Linked DNA regions of Arabidopsis thaliana. The protein of the gene in region 1 interacts with the protein of each later gene in a pairwise test. Each region holds a gene or a part of one and is shown in the gene's direction. Other genes may lie near its edges.

Region 1 (6,184 bases):
TTCGAAAAATGGACTCCTAAAAATGACACATTACAAAAAAAAATAAAAATAAAAAATAGCTTCGAGGCCTTTGAGGGTAAAAGCTCTAACCTCTCTCATAAAAGAATTAAAAATGGATCTTTGGATATCAAGAAAATTATTTTGAAATAATTAAATTGAACCAAAATCAGAAAACAAAACACATGACATTGTTGATTTGTCGTTTACTAAACCGATTTTCATTTGCCTAATTCTATTTTTATTGTGTTAGATCAAATAATGATGTCATCTTGTGTGTTTTACAACTAATAATAATTAAATTAGCAATTAACTATGGTAGACCTTAGCTTCGACCACCCTATACAAGCATATATCAATTTCGGTTATCAAAAAAAAAAGAAAAAAGAATCCGTTTGTAAAATTTTGCTAGTGAATTATATCTCTAATCCATATTCTCGATTGATGAAACATTATTCTGACATACATTAAAAAATTAGTTTAAGAATATTTTTGCAAAACTTATGCGATGTGATAAGCTCACTTTTTTTAGGTGACATGTTCGATCATAAGGTGCCAATAATTCCCTAGAAATAGATTAATCTCTATGTAAAATATCGAATCGTCTAGTGACAAGTACATGGTATACCTACCTATTCACTTATTATTTCTATTTTTGTCGTCCTCATGCATCTTATGTTATAATATCAAATGACGGAAAATGAGGGATGAATTCTATAAGCTAAGAAAACTAAAATAAGGGGGAAATTGCAAGAAGAATGAAAGCAACCTTTCAAATATCCTTATCTTATCCAATCCTTTTCAGGCCATTGACTTATTTTCTAATTAACCTAATTATATATATAAGAAAAAGCTAAGGCATCTTATATTTATATATACATATATCAATTGATTGCTAATAATGTTTTGATTAACTCTGCATATGGCATGTTTTCCAGCGATTTAAGTTCACAAAGAAGATTTTCGTTTTTGTCATCACTAAAAATTATCTAGTTCTTTCTACTTTTTCAGCGTACAATAATCTTTTTTTCTATCAATTGGTACGTTTTTTATTTTCTCAATTTTAATTTTGTTTTCTAGGTACATTTTTAATCGAATTGCACCAAAATATCCAAACAAATCAATAAAACAGGCAGAATGAGGTATTACCGTATTAGTTAAACGAGAAGTGGCTACTTTCCTCAGCGTGATTAAAATGCTTATGGGTTCAGTTTCATAATTCTCATATACGGAACTACGCATTTGACCTCATGCTCTCTATAAATATTAAGATCTGATGTTGAGAGCCCATTAGAACTAAGTTTACGAATGAGCCCATGATAGTTTAACTTGGGCCTAATTAGTGTCTAATCTGCTTCTAACGTTACCGAGTCAAACGCGGTCTAAACTAATTTGTAGAGTAGTGTATTTGTCCAAAGCGTACCCACACAATTGCTGAGAAACTTCAAACCCTAAGTGTGTGTCTAGTATTTTGCAATATACGACGCATAAAGAAATATCCTAACATTGACAACAACAAAAAAAAATCTTAGCGGAGATATAGACGTGTGAGACAAGAGCTCACACGTGTTGCACATTCGAGACTTGTTGATAATGACGACAACAAGAGGTTCTAGAATATTCGTGTTGGTTTCATTATTATTAGCAAATAAGACCAAGTCAACAAACTAACTTAAACATTGTGGATCGTCCACTTGTCCGACTCTTACGTCAAACCCATCATTGTTCCACATATCTCCACGCGTCAATCTCTCTATAAATACGAACAAATGAACACGTATCAATTCAACTCAAAAAGTAACAATTTGAATTACTTCCGCAAATCTAAAATAATATCTAGTGAAGCGAATATGTGTTTCTTTGATAATCGGTGCGATCAGAATCTGACGGTGGTGGTGGATGTGGCGTGGTGGATGGAGGCTGTTCCTCCACAAATCATTTCTCCGGCGAAGCCATCGGTTTCTCCGATTCTTGAGACGATTTTAGAAGGCGGAGAGACCGAAGAAGACAATCAAGAACAAGAAAACGAGGACGTGTAAATTGTAATGATCATTTTGTTACTCGGTCTTGGGTTTAAGATAGACTCTTGTTGTTGTTGTTGTTTTTTCTATAACTGTATAAGATGAGATTTTGTATTGTATCTTTTGTACAATCAAATCTCAGTTCTTTGTGAAATTTTCATTCAACTTTCACATCTTGTACGCTCGGTGATCTGTTGTTATATGCTCACGAGTTGGTAATTAAAGACAAATCTTAATATACTTTCTAACCGAACCGGGACGATAACCGGTCCACGACAAAAAATCAGTATCTTCAAATATCAAACCAAACTTAAACCTGAAACCAGTCTCACCGCTATTTCTGTTTGGTGCGATCATTTTCTCAACCAAAAGAATCTAATTTACATTAATTTTTAATAAAGACATGTATGATTTATCTGCAAACTAAAGCAGTGTACGCATACTTATGTTTCAACTTTCGAGCATCACCTAAATATGAAACATAAATATCACGTGCGATAAGTATTAAGCTGCGTCCTATAAAAAAGTATACAAATATATAAAGATCACTTGATGATTAGTTAATTACACTACTACTATTCCTCTCTATCTCTATAAATATCAGCAATAACAATAATTTCCACATAGATCTTCTCAACACAGTCGAAAGCTGCCGAAGTCTAAATCGAAGAAAGAGTATATTTACAAATCATGGCTAGGATGATCGGACCATTCGAAACTGTACCGGCGATTCTTGTTTATCCGATGAGGGTTTCAGCTTCGCCTTCGCTGGGGACAATTTATGAGGAACACGATGAGTAAAATTTTAACAAGACAAGATCAAAACTCGAGTGTTTAATTATTTTTTAATCCATTTTAATGAAATATTCATTTTGAAATATATCTTGATAGTGCTTTCTATTTCTTGGTTGATTTCCACTTTAAACTCTTTTTTATCGACGTTATTATGATCTCCTATATAATCAGACATAAGAGAAGATGTTTCTTAATGACGATCAGTGCAAGATGTTTCTTAATGACGAGCAGTGCTTCTTGTAATCGCCGGTATTAATGGATGTGTTTCTTTGTTTTCCGATCAACCTCCAAAACCAATCTCGTGTCTCCGGTTTTGTCATTTCGTTTCTTCTTATTTTGTAACCGTGATATTGTTGTGAGGCCTTGGGCCTATTGCCTGCCTAGTGCTACTGATAATGATTTCTTTGTTTTATGTGATTAAAAGTAATAATCAATTTCCCATGGTAATTAATCAAGTTTAATACTAATTTATAATATATACAAATAAACGTTTTGGTGTTTCTTCGTCGACGTCGCTATCTCCAATCTCATTACTCCCCTTTCTCAATGATCATAAAACCTACTTCGATTCTACTCCTTATCAACTGAATCACCGAAAAACCTCACCTTTTTTCTTTTTCCGATCATGGGGAATCTGATCAGTTTGATCTTCTGCTGCGGGAGAAGGCAGAGGAGCAATATTCCTCCGGCGATGGAAACGGCTCCTCTTGAACTCCCACCGAACAGATTTGTATTCGCCGCCGTGCCACCATATCTGAACCCTAACCCTAACTACGTTGACCAGTATCCAGGTAACTGCCTTCCTCCGCCAGTAACTGAGCCGCCGATGCTACCGTACAATTTCAACCATTTGCATCACTATCCTCCCAACAGTTACCAACTACCTCATCCTTTGTTTCACGGCGGTAGATACCCTATACTGCCGCCTCCTACGTACGTCCACCAGAAAGCCGTCACGATTCGTAACGATGTTAATCTGAAGAAGAAGACTTTAACGCTCATACCCGACCCGGAGAATCCGAATCGACTTCTTGTCTCCTTCACATTTGATGCATCCATGCCCGGAAGGTTTTACTTTCAAACTATGAAATGATCAAATTTAGTTAAAAGTTTGAATCTTGTTTGAATCAATCAATGGAGTAATATAAATGACTTAGCTTTTGTTGTTTTGGTTGGCGAGAACAGGATCACAGTTGTTTTCTTTGCTACAGAAGATGCAGAATGTAATCTTAGAGCTACAAAGGAAGATACTTTGCCTCCAATCACTTTTGATTTCGGAGAAGGACTTGGTCAGAAGTTCATACAATCATCTGGAACGGGTATAGACTTGACGGCGTTTAAAGATTCCGAGCTATTCAAGGAGGTGGATACAGATGTCTTCCCGTTGGCGGTTAAGGCGGAGGCAACTCCAGCGGAAGAAGGAAAGTCTGGTTCCACCAATGTGCAGATTACTCAAGTGGTGTATACCAAGGAGAAAGGAGAGATTAAAATAGAAGTGGTGAAGCAGATACTATGGGTGAATAAGAGGAGGTATGAGCTGCTTGAGATTTATGGGATTGAGAACACGGTTGATGGTTCCGATGAGGGAAAGGAATGTGTTGTATGCTTGTCTGAACCACGCGATACAACTGTTCTTCCTTGCAGACACATGGTATAGTGTTCATCATACTTAAAATTAGCTCATATAAAAAAAAAATTGAACTTCTTTTGAAATGGTTTGTGTATTTCTGTTTGGCAGTGTATGTGTAGCGGGTGCGCAAAGGCGTTAAGGTTTCAGACAAATCTGTGCCCAGTTTGCAGACAACCTGTTGAGATGCTTTTGGAGATTAACAAGAACGGATGAAATGGAGATGGAGAATGAACAAATTTAGTTAAGCAATCGACTTGTGTAATATATGCCATGCTTAATTAAGACGTAAAACGTTATGGTTCAATATATTATAAGTGGAAACTGAGTTCTTAAATAGCAATGATAAACAGATAGGCAGCTTCTTATTTAGTTATAGGTGCTTGGCCAGGAGCTGTGGTGGCCGAGGACCAACTATGGCAAACACAGAAGGTGATGGCATTACAACTGAGACAAAGACAGACACGAATCGACGTAGATAAGACTAAGGCGAAGCGAGATTGAGTTTTACATTGGTTTAGTCTTCCCACCATTGATGAACAAACACACCTCTGGCTCTCAGAGTTTGAAGCATGTTGATGCAGTCTGACTTGTGGTTGGAACAGCGGAGGAAAAGCTCATCCACGTAGCATATGACTCCTGTTTCCAGTAAAACAGTTAGGAACTTCATTTCCACTTGGTTTGTGTTCATCTTAAGGACTACAAAGTCTGCGTATTTCGCAGTTTCCTCAAACCAAGCAAGGAAATCGAATCTCTCATCTTCTGGAAATGGTTCTAGCTGTTCAAGCGGAGTTATCTTTTTCCCTGTCGAGTTGTTCTCAGCCAAATCCGGATGGTAAACAAAGGTGACGCCGGGTTTCTTGACATAGGATAGCATTACTGAAGTGTTGTGGTCGACAAAGTAGACATTGAATGCTTTGCTGTCGAGTGGGTATAACGGAAAGAACCAGTTTGGAGTTAAATTAGCATCCATGTGCTCGGCTGCTCCAATGTCAATGTAGACAAGGCTCTTTTTCAGAGAGAGATCAAGGAATTTAGGTAAGTAAGCTACTGATTTTGGGAAATCAGCAGGCTTTTGCTCCAGTAGAGGTTCCATGAACTCTGTGTAAGGTCTATTGGTGTCAACAGATTTGCAATCTCTTGGTAGCTGAGACTTTCCAATACAATAAGCAGTCTCCGTTACATTCCTCTTGAATACAATGACGGTGAACTTATCCAAGTTGTTCACACGCACTATCTCAGACTGCTTAAGCCCCGAAGTCACGGATTTGACAAGACGATTGGCATTAGTACTCACAAGGACTGCTCCGGTTCCACCAGGCTTCAGAACCCGCTCCATCTCAAGCACAAGAAGAGCAGGGGAAGCAACATGATCAACATCCCCACAGAGCACGAAATCAAAAGACTTGTCACCACTAAGCTCAAGCTCGTTGACATGCTTCCTACTGAAAAAGGAAAACAATGGATGCTTAGGAACCCCTTGAACAACTGAGAAACCCATCTCTTTGAACCCTGAAACAGCAGAATCCGATCCCTGACCAATGCAGAGAATCTTAGCATCATAATGCAATAGCTTTAACCCCATGAGCTCATCAACGAGATCAGCAATTACCACTTGTGGATACTTCTCTGTCTCAATTTTACCCCAGAATGGTTGAACGAGCTTATGGAAGAACAATTTCGGTCCTGGAATAACAAATCGGCCGAGATCGACCAAATCCACTGCTCCATGATCACCAAAGAC
Region 2 (5,444 bases), on another chromosome or scaffold:
GAGAAGGTGGATCCAGAAGAAACGAAAATTCTTAGATATATTCTCATAAAGAAAGCTTGCTAACAGTTACGTATACACACATTTATTGAAAACATGTAAAGATGGATCAAATGAATATGCATGTGTGTCATAGTGAATATATATTGTTGAGAAACTGAGAAGAAGAAAGCCAAAGGGGAATGCAGATAAAGGTCACGGGCCTGCTGACAATTATTACACAGAAAATTGCAAATCACGTACAAGTCTATTTCCCAATCTCTGCATCTTCCTTTGTTTGTTTGGCACACAATTTGCCAAACCATTTTTACAATTACATATTAATGACGTGACCAGTCCTGGATTTGAAGGAGTTTCTATAAAAACAATCTGGCTTAAACGTTAGTTAGTTATAGTTACTTGTGGTTGCTTTTACTTTAGGTATATCACCGTACATGCAAATGAATAAACTTTAGGAGTTAATAGGTGAAATAATTGTAAATGGTACAATTTCTTTATCTATGAAAGAAAATATTCTAAACAGAATTTGAATCATATTATAGTAACTTGTTATACATATCACATATGTGATATGTTTATATAGTTTGTTATACTAATAAAGCATTCTCTTCACTTTCTTTGGCCATCAATATATCCGTATCTCATGTTGTGTTTTTCCTAAATTTCTACACATAATAAAAAGTAGCATGTTGTTTCAAAGCCCCTTAACGGGTACAAAAACAAGAACAGAGTGCAGGGCTAAACAGAAGAAAATTGACATTAGGAAATCAGAAATAAGCCCATTTGAATGTGGATCAATATTGAAAAAAATGTGTGAAAAGCAACTTGCAATGTCACAAGATAAATATACCATGCCGTATATATCATAACTGCAAGAACAGACCCAAAACTGAAAAGTGAAAAGAATGTGTGTGGGTAAGTTAAAGAGTAATGAAGGCCGACAGGCGACAGTGGAGGAGGATGGACCAGACCAGGGTGCTGGGCGATGAGGACGTCTCGGCTAAAAGCTGAACCACCCTCCACTCTTAGGTCCCACAAAGGCTGGTCCTCGTTCACAAATGTACTCTCTCAAAGAAACACCCCTTTCTGCTTTATTACTATTCCCTCTCGTTCCTCCACTTTTTTGTAGCAGCTTCCACATGAATCATGTCATAACTGTTACAACATATTCCAAAAAAAAAACTATAGAATATATGTAGGAAATGTTAATCACTCTGTTTTTTTTGTATCTTTACTCTTTGTTTCTTCTCACTAGATACCGTCCTATACTTCTATTAGTGCATAACACTTCCTTAGACACTTGCTTTTACACTTTCCAAAATTATTTTAAACATGTATGTATATGATCATGTCGCCATGGTTGACGATATATACAATTATTGTACTTTCATCTCCTTTTCTCATCTTTTCTTTCAATAAACCTTATTTTTATTACCATATCTTCTCTTTTTCTTGCTAGCAAATGTTGATTATTTTATTGTAATTAAACTGTTGTTTATGACTTAATGTTCAAACTTCAAATAACATGTGTGAACTGTGAGGCATGCAATAATGATATTTGTTGCATATCTATCAGTTTTTAAAAGTGTCATCATAGCTCTATAAAGCTGTCTATTTAAATTAGATATACCTATCTCAAGTTCACTAATCCGTATCTAAAGAGAAAGAAAAATATCTTGATAACTAAAAATGAGTTTTAGAATGTACGGAGATAAGTTCTGAAAAAAACTGAACGAGCCACCTTTAAAAGTAATTAGATGAAGAAATAAACACAATTTGAAAAACTACATGAAAGCTAATCTCTGACTTGAGAAGTTGAGATATTTGGAACCTTTGTTAATTCTTTCAACACCGAAAACGATTTCTTAGGAAATTTCAAAAGAAATAAAAGTAAAGAGGGCAAGTATTCTGATTGTTAACCAAGCACAAAATGAAGCACCCATCAATCAATCTTTTCAACAATCAACATACCGATTCTAATTGGTCTGGCAGAATAATTACCGGAAAGGAAGAAGAATAGAACTCCAATATTTAATTATCGTACTTAATCTGTTTGTTCGAGAAACTAAATAATGGGTTCCTAGGTATATGTATTTATTTTATACATTATCTTCACATGTAACGTGCCTATTTAACGAGAATATGATTCCCTATGATTCATGCACAAACACAAATCAAATCCGGAATTTAAGTCGGATCAGGGAATAAATTATACAGCCCACACACATAATAATTTAAAACTAATATATACACAGTGAGGGGATTTAAAAGTAAAACTTATCTCCAAAGATTAATGTAAGCGACTAGTGATTGTGTTGGCATATTAACCGCACATAACATTGTTTGGGGGTTTGGATGCTTTAAAAAAGGTTCTGCCTTAGAAATTCCTTTTAGTTGACGTAATGATATATTATTGCTTACTGTAATACTAGTGGACACATTAAACAATGATCTTAAAGTACGAATGAAGAAATTAAAGAAAATGGAAGAGGAAGAATGTGGAAATGGAGAACGTAAGTGAAAGTGATTGGAAACTAATGGAATATCCGTTTTTCCTTTAGTCATGGTGGAAGCTGACGCTGAGAACCTACCCCTCCAATTGCACTACTCGCTCTATTACTTTATCTAACCAGAAGTTTTTTAAATACCCTTTACTGTATATAGTTCTTACAGTTTTATACATATTGTTAAGAACTCCATATATAGTGTATAAATGGCATTGAAAATAGTTTTGAGTTGAAACTCCTAAATGATATTAAATCTTGAGTTTAACCTAATTAAGCAAAGTAATAAAAACTGATTAGCCAAAACAAAGAGGTTAGTTAGTTCAACAGTTAGGTTAATGTGCAAATTGCCGTAACAAGATTATTAAATAATTCTTAACTTTAATTAACCTCTATCCATTATTGCATTTAAAAGATACTATTAATTAAAAGCCACCAATAAAAATTTAAACTTTATTAAAGTACTAAAGACGGATATATTAAACAAAACAATTATGAAAAAAATAAGAAAACCAACTTAATACAAGTTCAAATTAACATCCAAAAGAAGGAAATATACATGATTTTACAAATGTCTTCATTGAGCCACCACGTTAAACTAATATCATTTTTGAGGTTGATTAAAAAATTATTCATGTAAGTATAAATGCAAAAAAAAACTACATCTCTATATCAAAAACCAATCAATTGTTTACTCCATTATGGAAGATGATTCCCTAAAAAATAATTTCGTTAATACTCACTCTACAAAGTACAAATAATGAATACTGACTTTTTTCATACATTCCAAAAAAATACTGAAAACTGAACCATACACAAATCCATTGCATTAAGAAACAATCCATCCCATACGTTCCTCTATAAAACGCCTCTCACAACACAATCTCATCTCCCACCAATAAATTAATTACTTTTTTAACAAAGAAAACTTTCATTTCATTCACTCTTCCCAAACAGTAAAACACACATGCAGACAATGGAAGGACGACAATATAATTACCAAGACAGCATAAACGCGAGCTCCTCCATGGTGGTGCCTCACTCGCCTTGGCACTCTCCGGTTCCTTATCTCTTCGGTGGTTTGGCCGCCATGTTGGCTCTCATCTGCGTCGCTCTTCTCATCCTCGCATGTTCCTACTGGAGACTCTCCGGCTCCGCTGAGAGAGATCTTGAGGCCGGAGATGATGCCAAACCCGACAATGACACCAACAAAACTAAGCACACAGAAATGCCGGAGAAGTTTCTCGTCATAATGGCCGGTGATGTCAGACCTACTTACTTGGCTACGCCAGCGACTCGGTCTGAGCAAAGCTGTACTTGCGGCGATCATAACGAAGAAGAAGGAAGAAGAGGGTAGTGATCAGGTGGTATAGCAGAGCACCGGAGGTTACGGTGAGCCCTCCCTCATATTTTGAAAACAGAGCATTCGTTACGGAGTACTCCGGAATCGATCCGTCCGGTCTTTTTGTGTCGGTTCATAATTACGCCAACCTTACGTGAGCTGATGGGATATAAATTAGAGTTTTATTTATTTCGTATGGTTTTAGTTTTTTTTTGGTTGTCTCAGTTTTCTTCAAATTTTTCCCGTTTATGGTTCATGAAGGAATATCCGGTACATGTAAATTTTAAGAGTTTGAATAGATGATTGTTTTGGACTAGCGATTAAAGATAGAACTGAAGCTTGACAGACAAAATAAATAAAAGATACAACTAAAATCGTGCGTCCTTAATTCAGTTTTCGTGTATAGAGAGACAAAAATGTTTTCCCAGTGAGAGATGTACAGACATGATGCTTACGAAAGAGGGAAAGAGATGTGTTGTGAAAACTTCTAGTGATGTGCCAACAATGACGCATGCCGAATATTAAGCTAATTCGTTGTGGCGAACCGAAGTTGAGAATTATTCTCTTTGTACCTTTATTCCTAAATTTCTAGATATATTACTAAATATCATCAAGTTTTATCAAAGAACAAATAGCCTCTCAACTATACATTTCTCTCTTTTTTTCTTTTCCAGGCATATCCATTTATCATTGTTTACCATTCACTGAAATTGAAAGCATTATCGTTTATCGTTGGACAATAAATTGTCGTCTTTTGGATGATCAGTACAATGTGAACAGTGACACATATAATGGATGGAGACTACTGCAACTAACTGAATAATTGTTTTTCTAGTATGGGCAATTGGTCACTGGTTGTGTCATGTGTTTACGTCCTTTCGTTTTCTTGTCCAATTCCTACTATGTTTATTATGTGAACGTGTCAAAACAAACGAGCTCGCAAATGATGCCAATAAAACTGGAAAACCAACAATAATTGTGGAAAAATCGACATTCAACTGGCGCCAAGTCTTATGATCAAAACAAAAACTTATAGAATCGATAGTGACAAGAGAAGTATGAACCTTTTTTTTTTACAAAGAACGGGTAGATCTGTACAGATTCATTGTTCGACAGAACTATAAAACATTTTAAATAACCATCAAGGAAAAAGTGCCAAGAACTTTACCACGATTTGTATCGCATCAAGCATCATACTAAATACGATATAAATAACCAACAAAAAAGAGAAGAAGTTTGTGATGCTTATCGCCTTCTTACAGTGCTGACTAATTGCAGCGGTTGAAAATGTTTAGGGCTAGAGACCGAAATGATCCATCATGTGGAAGACAACATCTTTGCCATCAGAATGTAACCAATATGTTTTCACCTACACATTACAGGGAAAATTATGTCAAATGCTCTTAACAAAATCGCTTTTGAGTTTTGAGTTCTTATCATTAAACTTGCCTGGATGGTACTATGCGCGACGTATCGTTGCTTGCTATTGTGAAAGCTGACATCTACTCTTTCCCAAGATAGTTGACTGAGTCCATGTATCATTTCCTCTACATTTCACAAAAACCATAACAGGACGAAGTTAGTGATTCTACTTGTTATAA
Region 3 (5,172 bases), on another chromosome or scaffold:
GCAGGAAATTTACGTTGAAAGAAGCTTCAAACCAAACAATTCAACAATTCAGAATTTGATGGACATTGAAAGGTTCATTTTGCCTCACACTTCTACATCAGGTGTCGCAAGGCTCAAAATGAGGGTCATATCATGGGTCGGGCTTCAGTTCTACAACTACTGATATTGGGCCTTATCACAAATTAGTTATAGGGCCATTGTATCCAATATTTAATATCTCTGTAAACTTGTTTAATGGTTATTTTGTTCTAATGCCCATTACAACTAGACTTAATATCAATATAAATACTTTGTAAAATACTTTTTTTTTGTTAAAGAGTCACCAAATAGTATAAAATAAGGCATAAAATACAGTAATTATATGGATACTCTAAATACAGTATCCAACGACTAAATACAGTAATTATACGGTATAAATTACAATATAAAATATGGTATAAAAAACAGTATAAATTACAGTATTAAAATACAATATCCAGCGCTTAAATACAGTAATTATACGGATACTCTAAGAAAGCTATTGTTCAGCAACCCTTAAACTATCAATTATTACATAATTTAAATGCTATTATAAATTTAAAGTACTGCTATAGTTACGCAATTTAATAGCAAATAGTAATTGCTATTGTAAAATTAACAATAACACACAACAAAACGCTATATTAGTTGAAATTTTTATAGCAGAACCCAAACCGCTATATAAAGTGTTCGACCTACTATAACAAGCGCATACATAGTGTTTACTACAACGCTATAATATCTTATAATATTGTTTTTCCTGTGCTATTGATACTCACAATTCCTGTAGTGAATTCTTTGTCGCATAGTCTCATTCCGAATCTAGAACTTGACTGTCGTTTCATTGACTGCAAAAACATCGATCAGACTTGTTTTGTCTCCCAATCTCCATATTTTATTCACAATCATGTGAATGTTACCCACATGTGGAGCCTTTGTATTGAGAAATTTGCCAATCACAAAATCTTTCCATAACGGTTTAGCTCCTACAAAAACCTCTTTTGGGACAACAACTCTCCCTTGACCATCTACTTCATCAACCACAAACTTTTGTTTAGTAAAAACATGTTTTTGAGCTGCTTGAACGTATGACTTTTTGACTGTTGGACCCACCACCCTTTGAGTCTACGGAGATTCTCGTTGGCTAGATGCATGCCTCCATTGTGAAGTTTGATCATTGAGATCGATGGCCATGTTCTTTGAGATCCTCCTTCTGACTTACCTGAATCCATGTAGTTTGTATGCCTTTAACCTCTGTCGCCGGAGCTTCCTCCAGCTGCTCTGGAGAAGCCGACAGCTGCAGCATACATGCTGAAACTACAAAAACCCTAATCGAGTTAAGCTTTGTTCATCTTTCCACGTCTACAAAGCTTTTCAGTCTTACTAATCGAGTTAACAATATCATATTTGGGTTCAGACTTTCGGGTGACAAGTAATAGTATAACAAACAAAACCAAACCAAACCGTTTGGTTTGAGACAAAGGTTAACAAAACGATTGAACATATATTTTTTGGTTGGTTCATTTCCCTACTTTTAATAAAAATTAAATGACAGTCCCATTCACGACTTCCCTTTTGTGGACAAAAGCAAATATGAAATTTACTCGATGCTTCTATGTCCCGCTTAAAAAATGAACATAACTAAATGAAATCAAAGTCCCTAAATCCCAAAAGTTATAAAGACGACATTGCATGTTTTCTGTTTTTACTCAAACTACCAAACATAATGTCGTTTGGTTCCGTTGAATCATATGAATTAACGGTTGACTAACATCTGTTATATAAACTTATTTTTACACATAATTTAAAAAGTTAAGAAATCTATTTTTTAAAATTAGTCGTTAAGATAAAAAAGACATCAAATATTTTAGGGGAATTGACAAAAATAGCAATGAACAAGTTTTTCTTTCAGAAATAGAATATCTTTTGAAAACTTCCACAAAGAGCACTATTAACTTTAATTAAATATTAAATATAAAATAACTAATTTAATTAAAATAAATAAATAAAAGAAAATATTTCCCCCGCAAAAAAAAAATTGTCAAATTTTCTCACCAAAAAATTTAGGAAGGTAACTACGAAATTCGGGAAGGATTTCACAAAATTTAGGAAAGATTCTACAAAATTCAGGAAAGATTTTAGAAAATTCAGAAAAGGCTACACAAAAATAAAAATTATGAATATTGTGAAAACCTTCCTTAATTGCTTAGAATCTTTCCTAATTTTGTAAATCATGAATTTTTTTTTTTTGGTGGAAAAAGTTTGACAAAAAAAATTTCCCCGAAAACATTTTGGCGGGAAAGTTTTTTTGGAAATTCTTTTTTGATAAAGATACTTTATTATCTAATTTTATTTTTTGGCACTACAACTAAATAGTGTAGAAGTAATAATGTTTTTTTCGCTAAATACCTTTAACATTTACAAGTTTTTTTTATATATTTAGAACTAATGCTAAGCTTTACTTTAAGATATTGGAAATAATTATTTTTCATAATGTTTTAAACTCAAAACATTCATATATACCTAAATGAACTTTCACATATTTATGTTAATTTATAATAACGAAAAAATAACATTTGCATGCATGTATACCGTTTTTATATCTTGGTTCATGCACACCATTGTTTCCATTTCCAAGTGTCGGAAAAAATAAGTAAGAAGAACTAATGTAATGTCGTCATGACATGACACATGAACAATAAACAACAACAGATATAGTTAATAAAAGAAAAGAATATCTGAACGCACAAGGAATCTTCCTACTTCACTTTAAACTAAAATACGCCTACACTTCTTAGTGATCAATTAATTTAAAAATTATATATCAATTTTGTACAAACCTTCTACTATAAATTCCTTAATGCCCATAACTAAAATTCCATAGCTGCACTTACAACACAAGAAAAAAGAGACTACTAAAAATCATAATGAGGCCGACACCAAAAGTAGAAATCTGGAAGTCACCAGTACCATATCTCTTTGGTGGTCTCTTTTTGCTTGTTTTGCTTATAGCTTTGGCATTACTCTCATTGGTCTGCACACACCAAAAACCTTCTTCCTCTAGCAATAACAATCATATGGATGAAGAAGACGATGTCGGTGACAAGGACGCTAAGCCTATTACAAGAGAGTACTTACCTAAGATCGTGGTGATTTTGGCCGGAGACAATAAACCTACTTGCTTGGCTGTTCCGGTCGTGGTTCCTCCACCCACTTCCATTTTTCGTTGTAACTGTGACAATGTTACTGTCATCTCAACCTAACCATTAACATCTTTTTCTTCTTTTGCCGACAGAAAGATTAAGAGATTTCGACTTTTGTAATAATCAGCGGCAATTTTGTAACAGTCGATAATTTTTGTGGCAATGTTAGTATAGATTAAGTTTTGTGTTATTGCTTTTGTTTGTTGAGTTTGTTTTTGGAACAGCTTATGAATTATTGTTCTCTTTTTTTAGTACAATGTTTAAATTTAAAGATATATTAATTTGTCATACGAATTTTATTTTTCAAACATCATTTTTAGATCTTTACTTACAAAGTAGATGAGCATACTTTTTTTTTTTTTTGTCAACCGATATAAATTAGAACTCAAAAGAGTCAATCTCGAGGGATATTGTTTACATACGTGACATGATGCGGTACGGTACGAATCTTTCGTGCCAACTTATCCGCTTTTACATTTGCACTACGAGAAATTAAAGATAAAGAGAAATTTGTGAATTCTTCCCTATCACTTTGCAACTCCTCCAAATACACTGAAAACGCCGGCCATTCGGTTGGAGAAGACACCATCTTCACCAAGTCTGAACAGTTTGTAAAGAAAGCTAAGTAGATGAGCATACTTTGGGTTCGGAAATTGCAAATCTTTGATAAAAATTTTTAACTCATCGTAGAATGATTATATTGAAACGTCATCAATATCACTATGGAATTAATGTACCGATTGAAAAAATTATTATTAACAATATTTAGGGTTTGAACATGATAAATAATTCACAACAACAATACTAGTATACTCTAATTAATAGTAGAAGTAATGTGCATTAATAATGATAAAAGTATGTAAAATTTTAATGTGGGCTTTTCTAATTTCATTCACATAATGATAACTTTCACATTGATTGGCAGCTATTGGTGGACGCCGCGGCTTGAAAACGCAAAGAATTGGACGGTCCAAAGTGTGATCTTTTACTTTTGGACTATGTGGCTCTCAAGTGGTCGCCATCTTTTCTCGTGTGATCACTTTATTTGTGCGCTTATGCATATATACTAGATTTTAAAATAAAATATTTAATTTGTTTAATAAATTAAAAATAAATATAATTTATGTTTTATATTATCTAAATATACAATTTTTATATTTATATATATTTTTACTATAAAATTGCTATGTTTGATTTTTACTGTTTAAAAATATTAGAATAATAACATACTGTTTATTAAGTTAAAATCTAAATTATAAAAATAATTTAAATTTAAATTATTTTATTTTTTGATATTCTTTATTTTGTTTAGGGTTTAAGATAATATAATTTTATTTTGATTGTTATATCTAAAATTTTACCTGTGATATACCGTCTCGTATTACTATTCACTCAAACCCGTCCTACCATCTAATCTCGTTCAGTGAAATTAAACAATCTAATTAATTTCACCTGTAGTATATTCTCTCGTATTACTATCGACCCAAACCTGTCATACCATTTAACCCCCGTTCAATGAAATTAAACATTATTTTGTTATTTTTCTTTTAATAATATTTTAATTTAAAAGATATATAATTCAAATCAATCTAAAAATATATAATTCAAAATTCTCATATTATAGACATGTGAATGAAACCGTGCAAATTTTTGAAGAGATTTTTAGAAACGTTTGTTGAGCGCAATATAAAATATTTAAATTTTCAAATATGAATAATTAATACCAACTGATATATTGAGAGATTTTTGGCAACTATTGTTGAACGTAATATCTTGTATATAATTATCAACATTTGAAATTTAATGTCAATGACATTGTCTTGTAAATAAGTCTCTACTTCAGGATTTATTTTACTAAATGGCTGCAAAAATGTATATGTAGATATATATAGGTTTTTTGTTTTGAAACATTAAATATATTTATTTATTTACTATTATTATGATTCAAAGA
Region 4 (5,666 bases), on another chromosome or scaffold:
TGTTGTAAGTAATTATGACAGTACAGCAAATCAAACTCATAGTATCGGGATATCGGCAGTTAAAACTTAAAATGATTCGAAAAATGCCAATCGACTAATATTATTAATATTAAGTTTACCTATTGACATTTCTTTTCTCTTCAGGTGGTTGACGTATTTTATTTTTTAACAAATTGCTCGATAAATATATATATATATATATATATATATATATATATATGTATATTTGCCCCTTATTCTAAAGAAGGCAAATGATACATTTCATTATTATTAAACACCATTTTATTAAAATTTATAGTTTATATGAAAGAAAAAAAATGTATATATGACCGCACTAACAAAATGTAATATATGATGAGATTTACAGGAAGAAAAAAAAAAGCAAAATATGGTGCAAAATGTATAAAAGAACAAAACTAATTAAGCAGAAGTTAGAAATCCGATCTTAACTTTAAAAACATAACATACCAACAAGCCCAAACAATAATTCTAAACACAATTTCATCATACAAATCCATTATAAATGCATCTAACCTAATGACTGGAGGATCATATACATCAAACCTAACTGCAAAAATGTATCAAAGAGAATCTGTAAAATGTTTAATATGCTTTAAGATTGTCGATTATATAAAAGTATATATAAAGTTAAATGTAAATGGAAGCGCTAACACAAACAAACAATGGAAACCATGTAAAATTTTGGCAATGATGCATCTTTCAATAGAAATAAAATGTTCTTCAAAAGATTATGCATAAACAGTCGAAGCATACAAACAACACAAGATATTTATTAATGTTATCCATATCATATGATGCGAAAACGAAATCACCGAATACCAGAGGAGAAAGATAAGCATTTAGATCACATCAATGCACCAATCGAGAAAATGGAAAATGAAGACAAGATGCACAAAGAGGTTTGTTGGGACTTTACCCCACAATGCTCATTCCCTCTCGTCCTTTCCCAATCATTTCTGTCTCTCTTATAATTGTGCAAACATTGTCATTTACCACCAAAGCAAATGTGCTCTTTCACTGTGCCTTATGTCGCACTAATATCTTTGTGGGCCTCTATAATCATCACAGATTTTGCGGGAAAAGGTAAAAATTCTTAAAAATATATATTGTATAAAATTAAACTGCTCTTCATCTTTTGTCAACATATATATTAAACTACTTCGAACACTGATATGCATTTTAAAGCATTTTTTAGAAAGACTTGAGTTAAACTAGTTTATTTACTGAGTTAATGTTTTTGGATAAATGATTCGTTCAAAAGTGAATATTTGGAACTGATCGATCAAAAGTTTTGTTGACTAGAGATAGACTGAGAGTAAACTACGCTATAGATATTCTGTATGCATTTTTTACAAAGACTTAAGATAAACTTGTTTATTACTGAGTTAATGTTTTCGATAAATAATTTCTTTAAAAGTAAATTTTTGTAGTTGGATCAAAAGTTTTCTTGACTAAAAAATGGACCGAGAGAAAACTACGCTATAAATTTGAAGGTTTGAACTCTTTATGTTTTTGACAAAAATAAGAACCCTTTATGTTCGGTAACTTCGATTAGTTAACTGGACTTCATTTAACTAGTTTAATTTCATTAGTCGATATAATTTTTCTGCCATTTTAATGGTATAAACGCCTATGTTTCAAGGGTAACAGAAAATAAGTATTAAGTTTTTCTCTTCTTTAGTTCGCAATGTGAATACATAGATGATTCCAAAATATGCTTTCTTATATATTTGTAAGAATTTAGTTTGAAAAACAGACATGGTCCTTTAAAATGGAACCTGTGAAAAAATATAAACTTAATTCTTTTAACAAAAAGAAAAGAAAAAGTTTATAACATTTGGGGCACAAATTTGCACCTGATCACTACATTTTAATATGATGACAGCTTTATGGATTATTGAGGTAGTGCACCTGGTGCACGGTAGTTGGTGTGATAGTAACAATTGGAAAAAAAAAAAAAAAAAAATCCCACATATGACTTTTATTTGCACTTTTGAAATTTTTTTTCTTTATTTTTCTTTTAAAAATATATTTTTAATATGTAAAATTACTAAATTAACTTTCTTAAATTAATAACAATTAATCAAAAACATATATATTTTAATATCAAATCAATTTATTTGTAATAATTAAAATAATTCAAAATATATATTTAGGGTAATAAATTTTTGAATTTGTTAGTCTTTTATAACTAACAATTCCAAATCTTTATTGCCCTAAATATGTTTTTCTAAACAATAATGACTAACAATATTCTACCGATATTAAGTCATGATTTTTTTTAAGCCATGTGTTATGGTGCAGATTTTAATATTCATTATTATTGTAAAACATTAAATAATTTACTTTGCAAAAAAAAAAGGAGAATTATTGAATTCAAGCAAAGTTTGGTGATATGTTAAGTTGAAAATTGTGTTTGGACTACTCGAGATTATTTTATTTTATATAAGTCCGATTGGTAACACAAAACTGTACAAAATTTTAGCTGTTAGCTATAACCAAAACTTTTTTTGGAATAGTGCAAAGTTGTACAAAAGAATTATACGAGAAAGCTGTACAGTAAAGTTAAGAGTAAAACTTTTTGTAATGTTTTTGATAAAGTTAATTTTTGCGAATGATAACTCTCAAAATAGTACAAGTTATATCGCTTTGAGAATGTGTTACCATTTAAAACCTATAACATGACAAATATTAAGTGATAGACTTTATAATACTTTTAGATATAGAAAAATTGAGAGATAGAAAATTTCTTCATCCAAAAAGAAAGAGAGAAGTTGGATTCCCAATTTGCGGGATCCCAAAAAAATAAAATCCCCATTAGGCATCATAGTGTGTCCTCACAAGAAGATAGATATCGTGCCATAAATTAGAACTGAGAGTAAGGGGTCTTGGAATCCATCTCTCACTCTCATTCCTCTGTCACTTCCAGAAACCAAACTATTCATCTATCTAAATTGATCTATTTGGCTTAAAGTATCTTAGAGTCATCAAGAGGAAACCCCTTGTCTTTCCAAAAACTTTCTCGATATCATGCTATCACTGACATATTATTGGATATAAGACTTATAAGTCTAATACCCAATTATTGTAGTTTGTGTAGTTGATTGATGTCAAAGTTCATATGGTTTCAAATTTATTGGTAAATATTATGATTGATATCCTTTTTTTGATTTTAAAAATCACCATTTATATATTTTTCAACAACCGTTAAGCAAAAATTTTAAACCAATCTGCGGTAGTTCTTGTAGGCATTTTTCAAGTTTTTTTTAGTGTAGTTTCTTAAAGATACTAAAATTTAATTTATCGTGTCTAGTTTAAATTTGTGTAATTAATGTTCGCTATCTTTCTTTAAAAAAACAAGCACCTTAACATATATATGTGTCTATAACAAAGTAAGTTTGAGTACATAATATTGCATGCAAATATATGCGGCAAAACTAAAAAGTAATAAACGGCAAATGAAAAAAAAAGCTGCTTTAATTCAAATAATTAAATATTCGGAGTGACTCACTTTCTTTTTCCCCAGGGACTTCTTACCTATAAATATAACACCTCACCACACCCATTGTTTCATTCATCTTTCCAGCTTTCTTCACTTTTTCCTTTATATAAAGTTAGAAAAACAAAAAAAACAAAATAGTTAGAAAAAATCTGAGAGAAACAGAAGAAACATAAAAAAAATGAGGCCATTGAGCATTAAACCAACATCGTTAGATGTAGCTAGACATGCCACATCAGTAGAATCATTTGGGAATCACCGACCGCCGATATCGCCGTGGCACTCACCGGTGCCGTACCTATTCGGTGGTCTTGCGGCGATGTTAGGCCTCATAGCCTTCGCTTTACTTATCCTAGCCTGCTCTTACTGGCGCTTGTCAACCTCCGGTGATGACTCCGGCGAAAGAGTCGACGAGGAAAAAGAGAGTCGGTCTGGAGTGAAGGCGGCTAGCGCGGCGTGCGAGGAGAAGGTTCTTGTCATAATGGCCGGAGATGACTTGCCGAGGTTTCTGGCCACGCCGGCGGCGAACAAATGCATGTGCGGTCACGAGGGTAGAATGGTAATTTTCAAGGAGGATGGTATTGGTGCTGGAGAGGAGAAAATGGGAGACAGAGAGAAAGCCAAAGAAAATGAAGAAACAACGAGTCAGTGAGCTTTTTTGTTTTCTTTTCTTCTCTCAGTCTTGTCTTTTTTTTTTTGTTGGGGAATTTTCCTTCGTGTTTTCACGGGAAATGTAAAATTTACTGAGAGAAAATTTTGGGTTATGATTAATGAATGTTTGCTTGTAATTTCCTATCCCCAATGGTGGAAAACTCGTTTTTAGTTTTTGTAATTCTCAAAAGTGTGATAGGTAACCTTTCTCATACAGCTTTAATACCAATCAGTAATAGAGTAAACTAAAACGGAATAACATAATAGTACTTAAAATTCTTACAATTTTATGTCATCACTAAGATCTACAAAAAAATGAATCATAGTATCATAACACTATGTTTGCCCAAAAAAAAAAAAAAAAGTATCATAACACTATTGATCATAAATTCAAAGCTTGCAATGTTTCGATGGAAACGTGATTCATCCCGTACACAAACTGTAATTTTATATACATTTTCAGAAACTAATGTAATGCATTAACCCTTTTGTATTACGTATATATTCTCACATTTTATATTTTGTAAGGAGATTCGTTTAGTTACTTTAATTATGAATTGTTATAATTGTGTCTCCTCCATGTATTTGTGTTACTTTCATATTTTCCTTGCATTTATATATTTTATTTACCATAGGATAGTTCTGAATTTGCTATCAACTTGGATATTTTAAATTAATTGAGACTCCATCTAGTTCACCGTCAAATTTTAACTATACTTGTTTAACTATACTTGTTATATAACGAGTGAATAAACTGGAAATAGTATTACTATTAACTATGAACTTACATTCGTAATATTCGAAAATATGTGCGTGAGTTAGTCTTGTCACAAGAAAAGGAATCATATTCTTTTTTTCATTAAACAAAAATTGGAAACACATATTATGGTATAAATCAAAAGATAATTCGATTACTTGCCCCATTTGCCTGCTTTACTTTCAATTTGATAATATCCCATCAACAAGAGTCTTGTTACATGACCAAATTTTCTTCTGTTCTCACGTTATTAAGTATTTTGAAGTGAAGTGCACTCCAAACAAACGTCTAAAACTTAAGGTTTGTATAATCCTCAATCAAAAACATTTTACAACTTATTTCTATTTTTTTATATTGGGGTCTTTTTCCCAGCTACTAATATACGATCACTTAAGTAATTTTTTGTAAAAATCATTAAAAATCCTAATAAACTCATTTGCGTAGTTCAATTACACACATACATATGTAGTAATATAAATATTATTTTCCGTTTTAAATTATCGTAAATGGAATGTCATTTAGAATTTTAATTTTATTCACCACAAATGTTTTTTTCTGTTTTAATATATTTGTTTGTTAAAATTTATATTTTCGTCGCTAATTAGTCCACTGAAATTATAATCCACAGGCTAGATAATCCACTGATTTCAACAAAGGTGAAAAAATTATATAACTAATATTTGTCCATTAGTAGTAGCTAATTAATTGAAAACGTTTGTTCTCTGAATCGAAAGAGCT

The links.
Region 2: the proteins of LUL1 (region 1) and GDU2 interact in a two-hybrid assay, tested with the Arabidopsis thaliana proteins (one study listed by BioGRID).
Region 3: the proteins of LUL1 (region 1) and GDU6 interact in a two-hybrid assay, tested with the Arabidopsis thaliana proteins (one study listed by BioGRID).
Region 4: the proteins of LUL1 (region 1) and GDU4 interact in a two-hybrid assay, tested with the Arabidopsis thaliana proteins (one study listed by BioGRID).

The regions. Positions count from the first base shown.
Region 1 is NC_003076.8:758,922-765,105, reverse strand, and holds LUL1 (RING/U-box superfamily protein), read left to right. Parts: upstream 1-3,265; 5' UTR 3,266-3,438; coding exon 3,439-3,881; intron 3,882-3,998; coding exon 3,999-4,464; intron 4,465-4,551; coding exon 4,552-4,656; 3' UTR 4,657-4,787; downstream 4,788-6,184. Other genes in the region: DIP2 (E3 ubiquitin-protein ligase), read left to right, coding at 1,767-2,036; AT5G03204 (uncharacterized protein), read left to right, coding at 2,709-2,819; CPUORF47 (peptide upstream protein), read right to left, coding at 4,958-6,184. UniProt on the Arabidopsis thaliana protein: Acts as an E3 ubiquitin-protein ligase, or as part of E3 complex, which accepts ubiquitin from specific E2 ubiquitin-conjugating enzymes and then transfers it to substrates (in vitro).
Region 2 is NC_003075.7:13,112,681-13,118,124, forward strand, and holds GDU2 (glutamine dumper 2), read left to right. Parts: upstream 1-3,347; 5' UTR 3,348-3,468; coding exon 3,469-3,858; 3' UTR 3,859-4,275; downstream 4,276-5,444. Other genes in the region: AT4G25770 (alpha/beta-Hydrolases superfamily protein), read right to left, coding at 5,209-5,390. UniProt on the Arabidopsis thaliana protein: Probable subunit of an amino acid transporter involved in the regulation of the amino acid metabolism. Stimulates amino acid export by activating nonselective amino acid facilitators.
Region 3 is NC_003074.8:12,349,564-12,354,735, forward strand, and holds GDU6 (glutamine dumper 6), read left to right. Parts: upstream 1-2,908; 5' UTR 2,909-2,945; coding exon 2,946-3,281; 3' UTR 3,282-3,470; downstream 3,471-5,172. Other genes in the region: QQS (qua-quine starch), read left to right, coding at 2-163. UniProt on the Arabidopsis thaliana protein: Probable subunit of an amino acid transporter involved in the regulation of the amino acid metabolism. Stimulates amino acid export by activating nonselective amino acid facilitators.
Region 4 is NC_003071.7:10,555,778-10,561,443, forward strand, and holds GDU4 (glutamine dumper 4), read left to right. Parts: upstream 1-3,395; 5' UTR 3,396-3,701; coding exon 3,702-4,172; 3' UTR 4,173-4,462; downstream 4,463-5,666. UniProt on the Arabidopsis thaliana protein: Probable subunit of an amino acid transporter involved in the regulation of the amino acid metabolism. Stimulates amino acid export by activating nonselective amino acid facilitators.